4 linked regions of the Drosophila melanogaster genome follow. The protein of the gene in region 1 interacts with the protein of each later gene in a pairwise test. Each region holds a gene or a part of one and is shown in the gene's direction. Other genes may lie near its edges.

What was found.
Region 2: the proteins of fau (region 1) and CG8907 interact in a two-hybrid assay, tested with the Drosophila melanogaster proteins (one large-scale study listed by BioGRID).
Region 3: the proteins of fau (region 1) and Wdr92 interact in a two-hybrid assay, tested with the Drosophila melanogaster proteins (one large-scale study listed by BioGRID).
Region 4: the proteins of fau (region 1) and Edem1 interact in a two-hybrid assay, tested with the Drosophila melanogaster proteins (one large-scale study listed by BioGRID).

What each region holds. Positions count from the first base shown.
Region 1 is NT_033777.3:10,772,693-10,779,181, reverse strand, and holds fau (fau), read left to right. Parts: upstream 1-1,807; 5' UTR 1,808-1,930; coding exon 1,931-2,005; intron 2,006-4,116; coding exon of another isoform or gene 4,117-4,533; exon of another isoform or gene 4,534-5,163; coding exon 5,164-5,484; 3' UTR 5,485-5,985; downstream 5,986-6,489. Other genes in the region: CG45078 (uncharacterized protein), read left to right, coding at 1,931-2,005, 4,117-4,533; CG45076 (uncharacterized protein), read left to right, coding at 1,931-2,005, 6,021-6,047. UniProt on the Drosophila melanogaster protein: Plays an important role in the regulation of tissue responsiveness to oxygen deprivation.
Region 2 is NT_033777.3:17,007,119-17,013,052, forward strand, and holds CG8907 (uncharacterized protein), read left to right. Parts: upstream 1-1,711; 5' UTR 1,712-1,751; coding exon 1,752-1,810; intron 1,811-2,291; coding exon 2,292-2,685; intron 2,686-2,742; coding exon 2,743-2,787; intron 2,788-2,848; coding exon 2,849-3,739; intron 3,740-4,341; coding exon 4,342-4,714; intron 4,715-4,789; coding exon 4,790-5,130; intron 5,131-5,198; coding exon 5,199-5,294; 3' UTR 5,295-5,415; downstream 5,416-5,934.
Region 3 is NT_037436.4:17,906,146-17,910,202, forward strand, and holds Wdr92 (WD repeat domain 92), read left to right. Parts: upstream 1-1,997; 5' UTR 1,998-2,108; coding exon 2,109-2,383; intron 2,384-2,439; coding exon 2,440-3,292; 3' UTR 3,293-3,538; downstream 3,539-4,057. Other genes in the region: CG5290 (uncharacterized protein), read right to left, coding at 3,604-4,057.
Region 4 is NC_004354.4:1,903,198-1,909,637, reverse strand, and holds Edem1 (ER degradation enhancer, mannosidase alpha-like 1), read left to right. Parts: upstream 1-1,658; 5' UTR 1,659-2,018; coding exon 2,019-2,143; intron 2,144-2,203; coding exon 2,204-3,332; intron 3,333-3,402; coding exon 3,403-5,093; coding exon of another isoform or gene 5,094-5,097; exon of another isoform or gene 5,098-5,316; intron 5,317-5,356; coding exon 5,357-5,426; 3' UTR 5,427-5,934; downstream 5,935-6,440. Other genes in the region: mip130 (Myb-interacting protein 130), read right to left, coding at 1,283-1,285.

The sequences.
Region 1 (6,489 bases):
AAAAGTCGTATATCTATGTACTCCAATGGATCAAAATCGCGACTTGGGAACGGAGACACATGGAAGTGTTTGCACCTGCGCCACTTGCATCATTATGAGGGGCATCCGACCAAGAGATTTCTGGTATTAAGTCACTGACATCTTGCCGCTCGTTTTATATCGTATATATATTCAAACGGGCCTAAATATATGGGCTCTTACATTGATATTTATAAGCTAAACGTATATTGCTGAATAAATTTTTGTAAGTTATCGTAATATTAAACATTAAATAAGCATATCAAGAAATATTAATACTAAATTCGTTTGAATAAGGTCTTTTACATTCATATTTTTTAGATGCATAGTTTCAAAAATAATCTCTTAAAGATCTTACAGATCTAAAGATTCAACATCGTCAGGGTCGCCAGACAATGACCTCCATATATCACCTCATATTAAAATAATGAATGAATTATGTCAGACACGAATACTTTTATGGACAATTAGTAAACCTTTTCAAGTTGCAGACCTAAAGTAATACCTCTTTATAGATTTATGAAAATCAACATGTTGCAGAAATGTTGTGCCACCTTTTTCATTTAATCAAAGAAGATTTGTTCGCTATATTGAATCCTTTTCGCCAATTTATTTTCTGCTAATTTTTCAATGTCTATTAACACCTAATTAATACAAAGCAAACACTAAATTCCAAGTCAGTGCTCAATGACATTTTTGTTCGCCGATTAGGCTGACTTCGGCAGCCTTGAAATTACGAATCATTCATTGCCTCTCGTTAAGGTTAATGTCATAAAGAATTTGGTTTTTTTGAATTTCTGCCATGGTTTTGTTTATATACAAGCAAACACCTACACACCCGATTTAAAATGTGGGTATAGGATGATGTGCAGTTTATTTATATGTTCACGAATACATGTTTCCGATCTTATTGTAAGATGGTATGAGTAATCTGGCCTCAAACTGTTGGAAAACAACATTTATTTTTATCTTATTTTCATTTTTGTATTTTCTTAATAATTTATATCCAGCTATTTGTGTGGAAAGCTCTGTGTCCGGTCCACAGGTGATACCCACTGACCATAAATTGCTCTCAGGATTTTAATTTCACGCCTTATTTGTTTCAAAAAATGCCAAGCTCATTCATATCAGTTTTGGCTAATCAATCTTTAAACAACGGTGATGCTTTGAATGCTGATATTTTGAATGATGGGAATACGAATTAAGCTATAAACATTATTAATGTCTACATGTAATCATACTGCTAAATGCCAATTAAATGTAAAAATATTGAAATTACCATAATCAATAATTGCTCATTATATTGAGAAATTCTTGTGGCAGATTTATAAATAAATAATCCGCCGAATGTTTTGATGTTTATCGACCCATATTTAGCCTATGCCAAATATTAGCCTTTCCTCCATCTTCAGATGCCATCATCATCAATTCGAGTCATATCCCATGCTAAATACAGATTCTAATCTTATCTATAAAGTTCTGGAAGAAATCCGTGACGTCTGTTTTCGCAGATAAGGGCTCTATATCCTGGGAGCACTAGACTCGGTACATTTCATGTGTATATAGGCTTTTCCGAACGCAACTGTATGAAAAGTGCTGGCTTTATGTAAACAGAATTCGCTCGCTCTTTTGCGAGGAGAGATGTCAATGTTTCTTAATTCCAAAAATAAGTTCATTTGGGAGATGGATAGAGAAAGAGGTATGGACCGAACGTGCGAGAGAGAGCGGGATCGAAGGCTGTGAAAATTTTGAAAATCAAAAAATTATAAGCAAGTGCTCCGTGCGATTCTCAGGCAGATCAACTCGAACGGGCGTCAAGTGAACAACACGCAACGACGATATATCCGAACCAAAATCCAACGAACAATTCTATTTGAAAACTCTCAAAGCATCCAAATCTAAAAATCTCAACATGGTTTACGAAAGTGGATTTACGACCCGCAGAACCTACTCCTCGAGGCCGGTGACAACTTCCTACGCAGTTACGGTAAGCCCTTCGAAATAGAATCTGAACTTTACTTGACATACGGTAGTGTGGTTTTCCTCGATTTAAATCTGTGAAATATATCTGTGCGTACAGTTGCCAAACTCGAAACTTAAGCAGTTCAAGAATAAACTAACCTGTGATTGCAAAAAACGCTGAGGATAAATTTGACAAATTTGAAAGCAGTTAACTATTTGCTGTTAGCACTTAGCTAATGGCTAATCGAATCTGTAGTCACAAGAATTCAGTTTTAAGCGCTTGTGTCCCACTTGCTGTACTCAATGGTATCATTCTGAGAAGCGAGCAGATTACTTGAGAAATTGAAACACGTTTGAATGTAAAGTGTCTACCAATTATGAATATCGTATCGAACTTACAGTACCTAACTAGCTGGTCTTTCGCAACGGAATGTCCTTGTGCTCAGAGATATTATATTTAATGATCACCTAGACGTTCTGCCCATGTTGTACATATATAGCATTTTCAGGTTCAGTGTAAACATTTGTGTAGTAATTCATACATAAGCCTATTTCTAACAATTTAATAACTCTCACACAATGGTTGTGGTGTACTCGTACTACACTGAATACTACATATGTATATCTGAGTTATGTGCCTGCACAGTCGTCTAACCATAATTAAACCAGACCGAAATAATAAATATGTGACAAAATATTCTGACAAAACGATGCGAGTGTGAAAAGATTGCAATTTTCGCGCGATCGTGGGAATTGAATCTTCAGCAAATTTATTGCTGTGCAATGATCTTCATATCTCTTTCGGATATACGTGTTTACTCACCTCCCAAATATAACACGCTAAATACATTTTGGGAACTAAGAATTTAGCGGAGGCCGAACATTTTCTTCTCTATCTCTATATTTTATTATTATTTACAAAATGCTGAGGTCCGTCTGGTCTGGTGGTCTAATGGTCTGGTGCCCAAAAATGTTTAGAATATATACATATGTATGGGCGAGTGGAATTCCAAACACATGCGAATTCGCGATGAAACTCATACGGAGCCACAGCTCTCTCGATAATTTGTTTTTGTACGGGCCGTGGATTTGCTTTTTGTATGTGTAATACTATATGCGCGCGCATTTCGCTCTTTGCTGGTCCTAAAAATATCTTTCCGATTTCCATAATATATTCAAATAAACCGATGCCATGGCAAGCAACTACAACAAAATAACGCAAAATATTCGAAAATTAGAGGGAACAACATAAGAAAATGCCCATTTTTTCGACTGTCCAATGTGATGATAATCCAAAGCAAGGATATATATGTAGGTACATCGAATCCCCAAGAGATCCATCTTGTCTGGACACTTTCTGTGTGCCATGCATATACATTTTGAAAAGCACTCGCTGTTTATAATTTATAGTGATAACTTGATGATTCGATGAATGAAAACGGCAATCTACTTTGATGTGTATCTATGAAATACGTTTTATTGAGATTTAATTTTTGGTATTTAGGGTTAGAATGTAGGGTAACTGGCTTAATTGATAAATAAACTTGGCTAAATTGCTGTAAATATATATACGTTTGCTGTTTGTGTTCCATCTTAATGCTCCCATTGCACATTACTCACAACCACACTACGTCGTATCAATATGCATATATACATATGTGTATTTAGACTAGGGTGGACCGTTTGGAAAAACAAAATCTAAATTTTCATTACTGCACTTCAATAGAAACCTGTTAAGTAGGCTAGCTTTCTGCAGCCCAACTGTGCAAGCAACGTTGCGTATACGTAATATCTGTTTAAGGCTTGTGCAAACCAAAAGAGATGCAGGTCCACCCTAGGGTTCAGACACATGTGTAGCTATGCATCTTGTGTCATAATGTAAGGATGTTCGATGTTATTGGATACAGCTTGACCCACCCAGCACTGCGATCTGATACCAAACTCAACTACTGCCCCAACGAAGCTGTATATAAATGCCCCGCCCGCGTACTGTATATACTCGTACATATGACTTTGACCCACCGCACCGCCCAGTTGAGATCCCCGTTCGCTGCACCACCTAACCACTGAGCCACAGCTTAATCCCCGGCTGACCCAGAAATTAAAAACAAAATTGTGGACTTTTGGGCATTACAGAGAACGAAGAGAACACCAATTGACTGGGAGAAAGTTCCGTTCGTGCCGCGGCCGTCGCTCATCTCGGATCCGGTGACCGCCTTCGGAGTGCGGCGTCCCGATCTCGAGCGGCGCCAGCGGTCGATCCTCGATCCGATCAATCGGGCCTCCATCAAGCCCGACTACAAGCTGGCCTACGAGCCCATTGAGCCGTATGTCTCCACCCGGGACAAGAACCGGACGCGGATCCTGGGCATGGTGCGCCAGCACATCGACACCGTGGAGGCGGGTGGCAATACCGCCGGCCGCACCTTCCGCGACAGTCTGGACGCCCAGCTGCCGCGACTCCATCGCGCCGTCTCCGAGTCCTTGCCAGTTCGCCGGGAGACCTACCGCAACGAGAGGTCGGGCGCGATGGTCACCAAGTACTCCTACTAGGGGAGCATCATCCTATTCACCCAACCGATAACCCGAACCCAATCGAAGCCTAGTCGAACGAACCTAGTCGTATCTAAGGACACATAACCAACTAAAACAGACAAAAAAAAAACTGAAAATGCATTCAAAATAATGATAGGCCTACATATAGTCTAGCCATAGTCCATATAATCTTGTGTTAACCCACTAAACACTGAACAAGTTTTTACTCTACACAGAGAAAAAGTAGAACTTTTAGACATTCTATCCAGAATACGTTGTAATCGAAATATTTCCATTTTAGCAGTACGCTCTATAGAAATTGTTCAATGAGATTCCAACTACAAACGGTCAGTGCTTTTTTCTCTGTGTACCCATGTATCTAACGTTTCATTCATAGACTCATAGCATTTGTGTGCATAGATGGTTGCATTAAGCTCTTAACTCTAAAGTAAAACAGTTCGAACATGTTTCAATTTCCCCAATTGAGTCGCCTTGCGTTCTTTGGCCATTTGCATACAGCAGTTCGTGGAGCAGCAGGAGCAAGTTTAATCCTTTTATGATGCTTGTGCTGCCAATGCCGAAATAGAAACCAAAACCAAAACCAAACCAAACCTTATCTCTATATCACTATCAAATCGGAATTTATAGACTCCACGCTTAGACCTGTGCACGGACAGACCGGGCTCGCACCGCAGCCGGGCCTCCTCGGACTACTCGTACACCTCGAAGTCGTCCGTGGAGAAGAGCAGCTACGACTCGAGCAACCCGCACTCGTACCGCCCGGAGCGCTCCACGTACACGTCGACTGTGGAGAAGACGTCGCGCAGCGGTCCCGGCGGCTCGTACAACTACAGCACAGAGCGGACCAGCACCACTGGCGCCGGACCCGGTGGCTACAGCTATTCTTCGACCACCAGCGGCAACCTGCCCGGCGGCACCAAGTACCGCCACTTCTCCTACCACGTGTAGGAGACGCACAGCGTCAAAGGATCGGCGTTGGCTGTCCACGGCTTTGAATGTTATGGTGCCCACTAATACGTCATTGTTCTGAATTTATATATATATATAAATATATACATTTTGCAAATAATCCACTTAACCCGCTAACCTTGAGTGCCCATATATATATATATATATTTGTATACGAAGTTTTCAATGATGATGTATTTTCGTTTTGACTTGGACTAATCACCACTAATGCCCAAATAGTTTCGCATATAGACTAGATTAACCGAACAAGATCAACAATTTCTGTGTGTATTTGCAACCTTCAAGAAGTCATGTTAAAACATATTTGTGATACAATAAAATAAACACGGTCTTATCTCAAATGAACGTAGCATTATATTTTCTTGAAATGAACATATATAGAGGTCGATACGATATTCATACTGAAGACACAAATTAGGATAAGGAAATCTAAACCGTTTCTGTCAAGAAATATATGAGAGTTGTCAACTCTTTTGAACCAAAACATGACTTGCTCTATTTTGTATTACTTTCAGTACCCCTCGGTCGAGAAAGTAACTCGTGTAAGTATTTGGTTTTCATCCTTATCGCCTACATCGCTTGTCATCATCCATCTTTCTATGGATTATTACTATTCTTTTCTATTGACTTATATCACACACTGTTCAATCACATCCATCACATCATCGTCACTGGAAAAACAGATTCGGTTAGTAATAAGCCCTCACATCATAGTCTTATTTAGATTAAAGCACTAGAGAATCCATTTAATCAAAATAGAAATTATTCTGGGTAAATCCCACGATCCCACGTTAAATAATCTGAAAGTAGTAAGCATTTTCAAGATGCATTCTTTACTTATTATCATTTCATATATCATCATTTTTGTGATGTAAAATCGACTACTTCCATAATCATAAGGCAGACAAAACTGCCTAAATGGAGAGATCACGAACATATGGTTTACGTTTCTGTTTCTAGTTCTTATATGTTCTTTTTTATTTT
Region 2 (5,934 bases), 6.2 Mb from region 1:
GACAAAACAACGCTGCTCACATTTAAGATTGTTTCCAAACCAAAAAAAAATATATATAAGAGTCAAAACTCATTAAATACCTCAATCTTGATTCTTATTATCTTATTGCTATATTGGTTGTTAACTATACGTTTTGTCTAAGGGAACATCGAATTACAGGTAGAATTACATGACATAGACATGAATTTACAGATCAATTGTGTCTGGTTGACACTTTTGATAACTCTCAATTCAGAAGCGGATCGTTAAAGTCACGCAATATTACTATACTCAAAGTTGTTGCAGAAAGTGTTGCGGACAGTGCGGTACGTGTATTTCCATTTTCAACAATTCCCATTTTCAACTGTAATGAGGGTCGCTTTTTTCTGTTATTACGTGAAGTAGTAGTCATTAAAAGGCAAGAATGTCACAATTTGCTCCAATAAAAGTTATTGGCCAATAAACGAATAAAATAGTTACCCCAGACCCTAAGCATGATTGTTTTAAAGCTCTTTATTTATGATGAAGGACTTTCTTAAGTTAGGAATGATTCATAGGCAACATACAAAATACATGATATGATAATACGAGTAGAATAAGATATAAAGTAAGTTGTATGTAGATTTAATTGATCGAAATTATGCGCGCACGTCATGACATAAGTAATTTTCATTTCCGTTTTTTGAAAAATAGTCATCAAGACGTTTTTAATGATTTCTGTAAAGATTAAAACAACCATAGAGATGCATTTTTGCGATATAAAACTTATACTTAAGTTTTATTCAAGAACACTTTCACTTTTTCGCCAATCAATAATAAGCTATTTAAGTAATGTGTTAATGGAACTTAAAGAAATTCCTAGTAATTACTATCTTTAATTGAAAGTAAGATTTGTTGTTGGTAACAGGGTCAACTGCTGACCATTTCATACGATCCCACAGTGGGCCGATATCAAAATCAAGGCCCAAGGGTAGCAGACTCTCTCATAAGGAATGGTATTCGTATTTGTATTTGTTGCTCTGCTTCCAGATAAGATTGAAAAAGTGCCTATGAGCACCAAGAGATAAGGCACACTTTTGCTTTTGCGATAACGCACCATCGCAATTTCAGGCAATCAATTAATGAGCCAGCTGATATCGCCGATTCCCATTCCCTTTGGGCCAGCCAACGTCAGTTAGTTGGAGTTGGAATTCGATTCACAGCGGGTCGAGAGTTGTAGATCGGGTCGAGAAAAAAGAGCAAATAAATAAATAAAGAGCACAGTGGGCAGCACACAAGGTAACCAATCCATCGGTTCTTCTAAGCCCGTAAATCAACATACCAACGATATGTCTCAGACATCTGTATCTTAGGATCTGATGTCATGCCAGTGAAAGCAATAAATAAATCTCGAAACACGGCGGTAAATAATTGACCCACAATCACGGCCTAAAAATACGCGATTAACTCTTATATTCGAGTCCTTATGTAATAAGCTGCCATTAACGATTGCTTCATGAGCGAAGAATTTCCTGGCTTGTGATAACTGCAAAACAGAAATAAAGTAACGCCAGCAAACTGAAAAAGCAAAGCAATCGCAAACACAGTGCCAATTGCGTTTATCTAATCGGACAGGTAGCTACCACACAGGTGAAATAGGTACTCTCCTATGTACATATGTACACCTATGTACTTCTAAATGCAAAGGTATCTAATGGTAGCCATCTATCTGATTCGCATTGCCCATTGGGAATCAATAGTTTACCAGAACGCTTTGATTACACACCGCCGCAATGGTCAAAGCAGGCAATAGGACCCTGAAATACTTCCGACCCATTTCGGTCAAGTATGGGTAAATATCAAATATCAAGCGTGATAGACAGGAGGCTATCTCATAGATTGAAGCATTGCCAACACCTGTCTATCATATACCCGTATACTTAAAGTGCCACTTTGGAAATTTTCGGTGTTTTACTGTTTATGTTAGCATAACATTCAAACAAAGAGATCTTTTCGTCCTTGATCTGCATTTATAGTGTAAAAGATGCAGAACAAGATAGAAAATTCTTTACTATTGAACTATTAAAGTTTAACCTATTTTCCTTGTATTAAAAAGTGTAAGAGCAACTATTACTCATCGTCAATTACCTCTATGTCATGCATTAGTTGCAATGTAGTGTTATCAACAAAACAAAAAGAAGGGCAAAGAATTGCGCAGTTCATATTCTACAATATGTGCGCCTGAATGCCAAACTTTACATGGAAACAACCAATAAGTGATAAAAAAAAAAAAAACTATAGTTATTTGGAATGCCCATTTCCCTATTTCTCAGGATGCCACAAAACGGCTACGAAAATGGAGTCCCTGGCGGGAATCAGGCAAATGGGCACTACGACGAGGTCAAGCCCACCTATGCCCTGGAGCACTTGGCCACCTTTAAGCTGAAGAACGAGGCTGAGGTCAAGCAGCCGAAGGAGAAGATGAAGCTTCTGGTCGAATTGGAAAAGACCGGGGGCATTTGGCCGCACAAGATGTTCATGAGCTTCAATGGGCAGTGGCTGGTGATGCTGGACAGTGATATGAAGGAGATTGAGAACTTTCCGGGGAGCCTGATCACGGAGCCCACGGCTTTTATAAGCGATCATCCGCAGGAGTCATTCAACAATATCCTCATTTTCTCAGTGCCCGGAATCTCACTGGGCAATACCGAAATGCACATCTTCCAGGTGAGCAGCCACGATTTTTCAGCACTTTGAGATCTGTAATAATTAGATCATTAATAGGTGGCCGATGTCAGTTCCGTGCTCTTGGTTGAGGATCTAAAGACGGTGAGTTGAGTTGAATAAATAGATCCCCGATCTATATAATCCCAATACCACGATTTCTCAGCTAAGCAAGGGAACCCCTGTGACAGTGGATCGCAACAAGACGCCCATCCTGCTGCCCAAGCCGGAGAGGCCGCAGAACCAGCAGGCCAAGGATCAGTATGGAATAGCAGCTGCTGTGGCCGGAATAGCAGCCGAGAAGAATGCCATAGACAAGGAGCAGACCGAGAGGGATGTCCAGGTGATAAACCACTGCTTCGAGGACATCGAGCGGTTCATGGCCCGTCTTCATTATGCCGCCGAGGCGCTTAACGAGCTAAAGTTGCGCAAGGAACAGCATAATCCCCACGGTGAGGGACTTTTGGTCCTGAGATCGCGACCACCAATCGAGAGCGAGTTCCATGACATTTTGGCCAAGGCGAAACTGGCCCTTATATACTCCGTTCGGCTGCAGAACCAATTCACCAAGCCCGCCGATCCGGTGCACAATGTCTTCATATCGCTTAAATCCATCGTCACGGTTTGCAACGATATCTACGTGGATGCGGGTCTGCCGCAGGCGGTACTTAATCCCCTCCTGCGCCGTGAGACCATTGCCTTCCTCAATGGCACCCTCGACTCCAACGAGATGCAGCTGTGGCAGAGCCTCGGTCCCAACTGGACGGTTCCCAAGGATCAGTTCAAGGATCACAAGAGCTCTTATCATCCGATCTTCTACGACGATTGGTCTCCCGATTGGGTGGTCGATGAGGAGGTGCCGTACCTGGCTCCTGCTCTAAAAAAGAGCACAACGCCTTCGCCAGTGCCGGTTCCCATGCCCCCGAGTCCAGGTCTAGGAAATCGCACCTGGCTGAGTAGATTGGAGAGCCGAAATGTCAAGATCGCCGAGGTTACCTTCAATAAGTCGGCCACCAACGATAAGGAACTAAAGGTTACAAAGGGAGAGTATTTGGAGGTAAGTACCTAATAATAATCGAAAGGGGTTTTAATGTCAGTTCTTATCATTCAGATCTTTTAGCCAAATTTATCCCAATTTCAAGTTCCTTTAATTAAGATTTGCACAACATTTAAAACGACTTGCTTTTTTAATCGTTCGCTGACGTATGAATGTATGTAAGAGGCAATTATTTTGGGTTACAATACAGTTTTGTAAATATATAGGAATGTCCACGTGTGAGAACTGAATGATTTGAAATCTTATAAGGCACAGGTCTTTTACTTTTATATTAATCTTTTGTTTTGGAATGTTACTGATATAAAAAAGCTTTAGATAAGTATTGGTTGTGAAGATATGAAAATTCATTGCCGGTAATATATATGATTCAATAATTTTAAATTCAGGCATTTGAGATGTCTTACCAATGAGAGGTCAGTAACACTATATCAATACAAAAACTTTGAATGCAATTACTAAACATTGATTATATTTTTAACTTTATACCATGTTTACTATACATGGTACCAATCTTATCGATTCCCCAATTACGCGATCTTACCTTCATATCACCATGATAACAGACCTTATAATAACTATCATATAAATCGTCTGATTCCAAGATTATCGATGACTCCCGCAACTGGTGGAAGGCCCGTAACTCGTACGGAAACATTGGCTACGTGCCGCACACAGTGCTCACGCCGTACAACTTTGAGCCCGGAGTAAATGGCCGGGACACGGAGTCGCTGGCCTCAATGGCTTTGACGGAGAACGGCGGCGAGGAGGCCATTCCTCCTCCGCTGTACCGCAACACAATGGCCATGTATACCGCTCCCGTGGAGCAGCCGGCGGCCAATGGCAAGGCCATGCAGCGCACCTTCTCGATGCCCAACGTGCCCGTTCCACCACCGATGCCTCCACCGAGCGATAGCCAAACGCCCACGCCCAGTGGCACACTCAAACGCAACATGGCGGCGGCAGGAGCACTAGCAGGTGGGTACACTAGTAAATTAAAAAAAATAATACAATATAATAATGATATTTGTATTTATCTCATTCGCTTACCAGCCATGCGGGCCCGCAATGATTGCGAGGCAGATGATCAGCTCTACTACATGCAGGGCGACGTGCATGATGAACTGCGTCTACTGCAGCAGCAGCGAGAGAGGCGCAAGGACCTCGAGATCCTTAAGACGCCGGAAATCTTCATCACCCAGAATTCAAAGCCAAGCGAGGTGGAGGAGTGGCTGCGGGGCAAGGGATTCTCGGACATCATTATCAAACGATTGCACACGCTATCCGGCGAGGAGATCTTCGCCCTATCACCGCACACCATCGAAAGTTACTTTGGCCGGCGGGAGAGTCGCCGCCTCATTTCCCAGATCGTGCTGCAAAAGAATTTCTGCGAGGTGAGTTCTTGGACATATCCTCACCTTATCTAATCTAATCGAATCCATTCCAATATCCAATTTTGCAGTACAAAACCATTCGATCATCGGAGCTTTCTGCCAAACTGGCACGTGCTCGCCAAAAGGCCGATCAGTCCAATGGCAATCCCAACGAGGTCTTCTAAGACTCCCAGTATCCCGAGTTTTTTAGCCGGAGACCAGAGAGACAAAAATGCTTCAGATGCCATTAATTTATTTATGTGTAATAATCCTTCATTTATGTTAAACAGTGTTCATACGTATATTAAAAAAAAAAAAAGACAAAAATGGGTTTGATTTATATGCATTTAGTGTTAACATCTCGAATTGATTATAAATGTAATATAGATACTTTATTTAAACACAAATATTTATGAAGTGAAGAAATCATATGATTTCCTGTTTAGAAACTTAACTTCCCTAAACTCAAAAGTGGTATGGCATGATTAATTAGGCAAGAATATGTTTATCATTACAGGAAACTTTGAGAACTGGTTATGGAACAGTCCTAATGAAACGCTTATTGGTTAACCCAGATACCTTATATGTCGAACTCCAGTTCGAATTGCAGACTTCAATCAAAAGACTTACGAAATAGCCGAAATGAATTGGTTTTTTCAATAAACACGATGTTCAATGTTATGAAGAAGTAATAGACGTCGATTAAGAGTAATAAGTGATAATCTTCATAAATTCTGCTTCGTGAGTGCATCCTAAAAGTCAAGTAAGTGGGCGTTTCAAACCGGTAGGGGCGTGGCGTGTTATTTACCTTTTTTGTGAACACAT
Region 3 (4,057 bases), on another chromosome or scaffold:
TCAACAATGATGTGAGAACTCGATGCTGTAATGCTTATTTCGAGAAAGGTTTTATTTAAAATATAGAGATTTTTAAAACACATTAGTTGTGAAAATAAATATTAAATATTCTACATTTCAATCACATACATATAAGTTTCTGTATGTGCGCGTATACTTCCTCATATGCAAGTTAAATATAGGCGCGTGATATGAAATATTTCCCGGCACAATATGAGTGCTATCATTAATCCCTCAGTTTCCCTATTTATTACTATAGATTATTATTGCAGCTATTGCGTGCTATTAGCTGCGAAAACTTTAATCCCAAATTAGAAACAGGTGTGAAAGTGGAGGGTTTTAATCTTGAGCCCAAGGCAACGACTATTGGCAATCTTTACAGTTCACGTATAAGTGATAATGTATAAAAATAATCTGTGTAAATTACCGATTGATTGATAAGTAATTCACAAGTTTTATTCGCTTCGTTGTGGGAAAGTATAAAGCTAGAATTTTATATTTGTCAGAAAGAAAATATAATTATAGATTTATTTAAATCTGGTTCTGTATTCATAACCAATAATTTTTACAAAAAGACCAAGTCGACTGTTAAGGGGAATTTTTGTAGAAATAATTGCCTTTATAATTGTGCACTTTACGTGTTGCATAATATTTACTTTTTTTTTTTTTTCAGACCAAAAAACCAATTAGTTTCCATTCACTATTTGTTCTCCCCAGCGTGGTGGGCTTATCAACAAATCCCAATAAGTATAGGGTATTCCGAACGGGCGATGCGACAGGTTGGCAAAAAGTCGCCAAAACGGAAGAATGACATAAACATATGTACTATATACATGATGTACTATAACGCTTATATACTAAATATTATACACTATGAGTGTGTGTCAAGTGCAAGTGCACCGAAAACAACAGAGAGGGCACACAGAAACAATAAAGCCAATGAAAAAGCTGAAAAGTACACAATTAACGTGATTGTCCCCAAAATTGACGATAAATCGAAAGGCAACGGCGGAAGTAAGGAAATGTTGGGCAATACAAATGAATGTGAAAACATGCCGAGAATGGAAGAATCTTTGTGGCTTTTACCTTTGAGAAACTACATTAATTTTTAGTTGGCACTCAATTCGGTTGCCAACGAGTACAGCTGTTGCTGTAGTTGTTGTTCTTGTAGTCGTCTATACTGCCGTCGATTTGTTGGCACCTTCAACTTTTGATAGCGCCTTTGTTATTGTTGTATCACTTGTTGCCAATAAAAAATTGATTAACACTTTTCTGGCGCATGCATCGCAAATATGCTAAACTTTGAGCACTCTTTAGCGAGTTTTTGTTCTGCCAAAACGATTATCACTTATATAAAACCGGCTAAAAGGCCCGCAAATTAATAGCCAACGCTATAAGCTGCGCTTTGTTATTTCAATAATATTTATTTTCGCTTATTTAACCCCGCACGTTTAATATCTCATCGTTTTTTTTTTAATGCAGAAAAGCGTCGCTTGCGACACACGTAAAAGTGTTTCTTTGTCGTTATATATGAAGTTGTTGCTGCTGTTGCTGTTGTTGTTGCTATTGGGGGGTCGAACGCCAAAAAAAGATGCTCGCGCCAAAAACTAAATATGTGGAAAATCCGCGACAGAAGCAAAACAGCGTCCGACTGACCCAGTAAAACTGAAGAAAAAAGTATTCAACTCACAGAGTGGCGAAAGCTTTTTAAGCTTACCACCATTAACAGCTGTTCCCGATGCCTTCTAATGTATCGGCATAACTATCGTACACACACATTATTTCGTAAATTTTAAATTATTTGATTATATGAGTACAAAATGTGAACTATAGTAATGGGATATACTTTTTACAAACGTTAAGCGTTATTATTTTTTTAAATATTGCATTTTAGTGGATATGTTATAATTTATCTATTTAAAAATTAGATTTGGTATATTTCCGTCAGCTGATTGGTATATTTCAGGCGCTGCATGTACGGCTACACTGAAAAAGAGGAAGAGATAGCCATGACAACAAAACAACTTGTTTTTGATAAATCCTTAAGTTTTCACCGGCCGCTTTTGGAATATTAGCATAAAGTTGAGACGGAAATATAGATCGTTGAAATGGACAAGCCCCAGCTTATTGAGCACCTCCACGAGGCACTCAACTACACGGTGTACGATACGAAATGGGTGCCCCTTTCGGCCAAGTTTGTGATTCTGGGCTCCAAGGCCAACGGGCACGGAATCATGGACATCTACGAACTCAACCAGGATAAGCTGGTGAAAGTGAAGTCCGTAGAGAAGAAGGTTGCCTTCAAATGCGGCACCTTCGGAGCAGCTTCGCTCAGGAACCGCCACATGGCCATCGGAGATTTCGAGGGCAGGCTGCAAGTTCTGTAAGCATAATCCCGCTTAAGTCATTAGATGCTTCTCTGACATGTGTTCTTTGCAGGGATATGGAGCAGCCGGACCTTCCGGTCTACAATGTAAAGGCCCACAACGGCATCATCAACACCATCGACGCGATTGGCGGCACACAAATCGATTGCGGTGCTCCGGAAATCGTTACTGGAAGTCGTGACGGCGCCGTTAAAGTCTGGGATATCCGCCAGGGGCAGGCTCCTGTGGTGGACATGTCGCCGCCGCCGCAAATGGGCGATGGCGTTAACAACAGCAGTGGCCGCCGGGACTGCTGGGCCGTGGCCTTTGGAAATACCTACAACGCTGAGGAGCGCATCGTTGCCGCCGGCTATGATAATGGAGATCTAAAGATATTCGATTTGCGATCCCTTTCCGTACGCTGGGAGGCCACCATGAAGAATGGTATCTGTGGACTGGAGTTCGATCGCCGGGACATTCCCATGAACAAGCTAGCGGTCACCACTTTGGAGGGCGGTCTCCTTGTCTTCGATATGAGAACCCAACATCCGACCAAGGGATTTAGTTACGTGGAGGAACGCAACGCCGGACGCAGCGTGGGAACAAATGGCGTGATCAGCGGACCCAAAGCCACCGTTTGGGTAGTTCGTCATCTGCCCCAGAATCGGGATCTCTTTCTCACGGGCGGCGGAACTGGTTCCATTCGCCTGTGGCAGTACGAGTATCCCGACAGGAGGGTCATTGATGACTCTGATGGAAACAAGTTGGGAGTTGCTGGAGCCCTTAATATGCTTAGTGCAGCCACTTTGAGCTCTCAGCCGGTTCACTGCTTTGACTGGCATCCAGACAAACTGGGCCTAGCCGTCTGTGGAGCATTCGATCAAAGCGTGCGCGTTTTAATTACCACCAAACTAAACACTTTTTAGATGGTGGACATCAAAAGAAACCCATTAAAGAAATGCTTCATACTTGTGATATTGGATGATGGGTTAATTCATAGGTTTATATTTTTATGAATACACTTTCATTGCACCTATTGCTAGACAATAAATCCTTAATGCGCAATAGCTTTTAAAATCAGAAAAACTGGATAATCTGCTTGAGCTGAATTATATTACAAATCAAAACTAGCTTACAAATATATATCAGCAATAAACTATTTCATGTACAATAAAAAATGACTCTTTTTATTTGTTTTGCAATTACAAAATAGTATAAAACCTTATATAGTGTATAACTAAGATCGAGACGCATTCATTCGTTCCTGGACAATTTTTGTCAGGTCTTCGATGCGTTTTTCCAGCTGCTCCACTTTTGCAGTCTGTTCTGCCGATACATCCACATTTATGGCTCTCTTCAAAGCATTCAGACAAGATGTTCCCGCCAGTCTGGCTGAATTTAGTTGAGAGGTAATCATTACCTCACTTTCCTCTTGAATGTGCTCTGTGATGGCCGCCACTGAGAGATCGCAGACCTCTAAACAAAGATCTAGGGCTTTTAAAGCGTGCTCCGACTTGGTTTCCCAGCCCAAATGCTTCGGTGTGTACGCACGATACGATTTTACCAGTTTCTCGGCCTTCTTCAGTGGCGTTTGGGCCACCAAGGCGGCCAGTTCCCACACAAGAGGCTCGTTACCATGTTGAATGCTCTGCTGTCCCAGAAGCTTTATGAGTCTTTTGATCAGAGCACTT
Region 4 (6,440 bases), on another chromosome or scaffold:
GAGCTGGGTATATGGGAGGGCGCCTGATGTCGCCAATTGAAAGATCAATTAATTGGCCGACTATTTGGCATCGCAATTTGAGCGGATTTTGCTTCTGCTATCGCACACAAACACACACACCCTCACACCTGGACACGCACACAGGGACAAGCCATAATAATTGTAGATAACTGGGCATTTATCTAACATTTTTCAGCAGTTTTCCGTATTGGGCTGGCTGCCGCGCGTGATTCCTCCGCTATGGATTCCGATTCCGATGCCAATTCCAATTCCAATTCCGAATCCGAGTTCGATTCCGAGTCAGCCTGCTCTCGATATGGAGAACTTAATGATGGTCCGCTACTGGTGGTGACGCTGCTTATTGATCCTGGTCGACGGACATCGCGGTGGCGGAGCAGCGGACTTCAATGTCGATTTCGATTCGATTTGATTCTAATTTATGGACACGGGACGGGCGAAACGCACACCACCCCCCGAGCACACCAACACACCAACACCTTTCCGCTGTACAGATTGCTTACAACACACACACGTTGCGTTGCTGTTGCTACTTTGTTATTGCTTTTGCTCGCCACTTTTGCGAACTGCTCATATTTGTTGCACACACTTTCCGCTGGAACATGCACTCCACGGGATCAAAACACTGCACTGTACTTTCGATTTACTTAGCTATTTCCTTTTTTTTTACACGAGTGTGAAAAAAAAGCAACGAAAATCGACCGTGGAGTAAAATTTTTCGATAGATTTGCGTGAGCGGATAGGGTTGCAACCGCAGCTCCGGACGCTCTTCTATCGATGCCATGCGAGGGGCGACAGCCCTGACCAAAAAATTTAATATTTTTCTTTAATTGTTTATAAATATGCAAACAACTGGGTGGAAACACGATTTCCAGATCCCAAATGGCACACGCTTATATCTACGGTCAACGGGATGGTTTCAATGTGGTTTCTGGTCAGCCAGAGGCAATCCCGCATGTATAGACCCACAATGTTGTTACTTTTCGCCCAACGGACAATTAAGCATACGCGATTGCATTTAAACGATCGCCTTACGCGGAGTACAAAAGGCACACGGGCCGTGATGCAGTTACTCCGCGAGGTTATAGTCGACCCTCTTTCTGAGTTTTTTTTACGCGGAGAATGATTCAAAACCGAAACACATCGCTGCCCATCGCCAGAACTGCAATTCGCAGTCGGAAGCGTAACAAAGGCTGCGGATTTCTTGGTCAGCTCATCCGGAGGATGTCCGGGTGTGAAACGGGTGCAGAGGGCAGTTACTTACCATAGGGTACAGTTGCTTCTATTGGAGGCGGTCGTTTCGCTGAATATTTTGAATTTAAATCACTTTTTACCCGTACGAACACACACTTTTGAATGGCCACAAAAAAAACTGGTATGTGCTGCCAACTCGACGCGAATAAAAGTATAAAGGAACGTGTGCCGCGCAAAGCAGTGACAAACAATCGGTATATTTGTCATCACAAACTTTTTGAATTCTTAAAGAAATTGCCATTTAATTTTTCCAACCCGACTTTAATATTGCCGCGCTGATTTTACGGCTATTCTGAGCTGTTGTATTCCTTTAACAAGCAATGACCACCATGCAAATTCGATCTGACCACCCTTTCGATAGTTATTCGATCAGCAACAGCTGATTGCACCCTACGGAATGACATATCCTATTGCTAGGGATTTTGTTGGGTAAAATTAACGTACTTCAGAATTGGCGGAGAATACAGTGTTTGCTAGCCTATAGTGTTTGGTTGTTACCTTAAAAAAGCTCTTTGGCTTGTGTTCTTTCCCCCGTTTGCTACTCTAAGCGCTCTATAAAAAAACACTCACCGAACGGAATTAGTAGGGCATTCGGCGGTCGATGCCACCGCCGAATCAGCCCTTGTTGTGATTTTGCGTCAACGTAGCCGCATTTGACTTCCACACATCCCACATCCACGCTGGCTATGGAACACTGACCATGCCCATAATTGAATTAGCGGCCCTGATTGATTGACTGTCCCACGATGCAGCAAAAACCCCGAAACAACGGCTATCCGGGCACCCTCATCTGCGCGGTCCTCCTCGTCCTGCTGTCCACCGGTGTCAGCGGCCAGAAGCAGTATTCCAAGGCAAGAAAGTTGGAACTGAGGTGGGTCATTGCTAGGGCTAAACTCGGACATACTAATCCTAACCGGCAATGAATCTGCAGGGAGGATGTGCGGCGCATGTTCCAGCACGCCTACGATGGTTACCTGCGCCACGCCTCCAACTACGATGAACTGCGTCCGCTGACCTGCGATGGCCACGACACCTGGGGCAGCTACTCCTTGACACTGATCGACGCTCTGGACACGCTGGCCACCATGGGCAACTTCACGGAATTCCGCCGCGCGGCAAGACTGCTCGAGGAGAAGATGGATTTTGACAGGGACATCAACGTGTCCGTGTTCGAGACAAACATCCGCATCGTGGGCGGGCTGCTGTCCGCGCATCTGCTCTCCAAGCGTGCTGGCGTAGAGCTAGAGCCAGGATGGCCCTGCAAGGGACCTCTGCTGCGACTGGCGGAGGATGTGGCCCGACGATTATTGCCAGCCTTCGTCACGAACACGGGTATGCCTTATGGCACGGTGAACCTGCGCTATGGCGTGCCCAAGGGCGAGACCTCTATAACCTGTACGGCGGGCGTGGGGACATTCCTCATCGAATTTGGTACCCTTAGCCGGTTGACCGGGAAAACCATCTACGAGGATGTTGCTATGAAGGCGGTACATGCTCTATGGGCATATCGCTCGCCCATTGGACTTTTTGGCAATCACATCGACGTGCAGAGCGGTCGTTGGACCGCCCTCGACTCTGGTATCGGAGCAGGAGTGGATTCCCTTTTTGAATACCTAGTTAAGGCATCTGTCCTGCTCAATCGCCCAGAACTCTTGGAGTTATTCCATGAGGCTCGCGCGGCCATTGATAAGTACATGCGGAAGGAGGACTGGTACGTGTGGGTAGGCATGAACAAAGGCCGCGTCACCCTTCCCGTCTTTCAGTCCCTGGAGGCGTTTTGGCCCGGCATCCTGAGCATTATTGGCGACACGGAGCCGGCCTTGCGCACCATATCACGGTACATTGGGGTCTGGAAGAAGTACGGCTTTCTGCCAGAGTTTTATAACATTGCTGCTGGAGAGGCATCGCCGAATCGGGAGGTGTACCCCCTGCGACCGGAGCTAATCGAGTCAGCTATGTATCTCTATCGAGCCACAGGAAACGAGTATCTTCTGGAGTTTGGTGAGCACATGCTGGAGACCTTGGAGTTCAGTGCCAAAACCAAATGCGGATATGCAACGGTGAGAAGTTCTGTGAACAAGCTTTTTAAGAACTTAAAATTAATTAATATATACTTGCATTATTTTCCAGATTCGCAATGTTGTCACCCACGAAAAGGAGAATCGCATGGAGTCATTCTTCCTGGCGGAAACAAGCAAGTACCTTTATCTGCTGTTTGACGAGGAAAACTTCCTGCACAACGATGGGTCCGGAGGCGAGCTGCTGTCAACCGAGGATGATGTATGCGTGGTACAGGCCGGTGCGTACATCTTCAACACAGAGGCTCATCCCATGGACATGTCAGCCCTCCACTGTTGCCACGCCCACAACGAGGACATCTACACCTCTCTGGATCTACAGCGGTTTAGTCCACGGGCGATATTAGAGAGGAGCAAAAAGCGGCAGGTAGCTGTTCAGGAACAGTGGGTGCCGCAGTGTCACCCAGAGAACAACGAGTTCTTTAATAAAGAGGATGAGAGTGTGCAGGCGCAGGACTCTGAAAAAGAGCAGGAACGCGAGCAATCCGGCACAAGCACTACCATGGCCGTAGATATTGAGGTGTTCGACGAATTTCAACAGCCCGCCGGCGATCTGTTAGTAAGCAACTTCGAGCAGATACGCGAGGAGCGGGAGCTAAACGAGAGCCTGCACAGAAACGTGGTGGCACGAAACCAGTTGACAGTCAGCGATTTGGATGAATTCTTTGCTCAGCGACGGGAGAGTTTCGCAAGCGCCTCCGAGGCTCTTAACTATGTAAAGACCTTCATGGGCAACTATACCATGGATGTAGCCTTTATACGGGGCTTGCAACTGTACGATACTAATATGAGTAGTGTATTGGGCACAGGCGCCCAGAAAGAGTATGAGTCTCGAATGAGGACCCTTTGGCAGCTGTACGAACTGCAGCAGCAATATGTGGCCAACATCCGAGTGATTCAAGGATTAGGTTTGCTAACCTTTCCGGCGGACGGTGACCGGATACCTAGCCATTTGACAGAGGTGTTGGACAGCCTGGATAAGTCGGCTCACTTGGAGCATATGGATCTACAAGATCTCGAAACAAGAGTGTCCAATACCTCCTCGCCCCAGTTGGCTCATATAAGAGAAGTTATTCTAAAAGCACGTAATGCCTATGCCATAGCCATGGTCAATACTTCGGCCATGCAGGAATTTGCTATCCGAATCTACCTCAGTGGCACTTCGGAGGCCGGTGTTCGCATTCACCCACTTTTGGAAGACGGAGAACTAAGTGAGGAAGCACGTAAAAGGCCATTAAAGTTGGCGGAGGAGCGAGCCCTCTTCAGCTACGCCCGTCGAATAGTGGACTTTCGGAAACGAATGGCGGAGACAGTTGATCGATTGCAGACGCTCATGCAGGACATTCCGCCACCCAAAAGGAAAGAGGCCACTACCGACTCTCAGGCCGCAGATGCGTCCACAGTCTACACTCAAACCAAAGCCCAGATGGCGGCGCCTGCACAGCAGCCGGAGCCGAGCCAGGAAGAGAAGCAGTCGACACAAATTCAAAAAGGAAAGCTTGCCGAAAACGGCTCCGGATTGGGTGAAGAGGAGTCCGGCTGCGTGTGGTCGCAGTTGGTGCAGACCATCCTTCGGAAGACCACGGTGCAGCGGGTCAAATTTGACGAGGCCGTGCTCCAGGAAAATACGCGCAAGGCACTGGAGAAGTACGCCCGCAAGGAGTTACCCCACCATCTGTTCGCCTGCCACCGGCCGGAGTACATTGAGGGATTCGCCTATCGGGACTTTTATCCGGAAGCGCTGTAAGCTCGCAATCACCTCACCGACCAACACGACTGATCTGTAGATAGATATGTATGTATTTAGTTACTTAGGGGTATTCGCTCTGGTGACTGGGCAACCACATAGATAAGTCTCACGCAGATTTTATTCCCAACTGCTCTATTTCCGATGGCGATTGAAAAGTGGGCTGTTGGGCCCTTTTATTAACTTATTTTTGCAAAATTAAAAGACGTTTTTTCTGGTAACGATTTCGAACGATCATGGTATATTTTTTTTTTTTTAGCAAAGTTCGGCGTCGATGCGCGCATGACAATGAGCGACTCAATTGCAGAGCGAAAAGGACAGAGCGCTAAGCCAAAGCGGCAAGCGCGAAAGTACAAGATGAAGACAGCGCGAGAGGAGGGGAACTTAGATAACGAAAGAGAACCATCACCTCTAACGGTTTTCTGATATGTTGCCGATCATGATATTTGCAGTGCTGTACTTTGTACTTTTCTATCGTTTAAATTGTAAGCTATGTACATATATGTACGTACATATGTATGCAATTACCAAACCATTTCCAGGAATTTCAACTTCTTGTACAATCATGTTTACCAGCGATTTTTTAAAGCTCAGTTAAGATATGATAATAGAACTTCCAAAAATATGTATAGCTAAAGAACCTTAAGTGGTCCTACTTGTGCCGACAATTAATTTAATTAGCATATGAACCCGCAACTCTTGAGGTTTTCTCAATACCTTACCAAGGCTTAAACAAATTTATATCTGTAATAATAATGGTTCGAGTGCTTGTGTGCGTGTAAACTATTTGCGATGACTGTTGTTGGCTGTATTGTAATTAAATTGATTTATTTCCGTATTTATGTATTCAATTAGATTCGATTAGGCTAAAATTTACGACGAATCGAGAGAGTTGCACAACCCGAAGCAAATGTTGAGAATCGCGGCGGCCAAGTGCCGGATGTGGTGGCCACCTGCTCCTCTGCCTCTAGATAATTTTGTGGCTGCGATTGTTTGGACACGCAAAGGCAATCGCTCGAATGGGTTTATTTTCGGATATTGCTGTTTACTTCAGGGATTTGGGTTTTGGGCTTGTACTAAATTACGCCAACGACATGAATGGAGCCAGCCCTTGGGTGCTGGAAGCAGTGATGCGAAGGTATAGTAAGCTCCTATTGTTTACAATGTAGTAGTTAGCCTTAAAATAGGCGAGATAAGTTCCAGTTCCAACCAATCGATGACTTTCGCCTTCGGTACACTTGGTTATACTTCAACCAATTCCAATCTTGAATATAACCAGTGATCCGTCTCATCACTGGCTGACGTCCTTTTACTTTCTCTTGAGCCAATCGCATACATCGCGG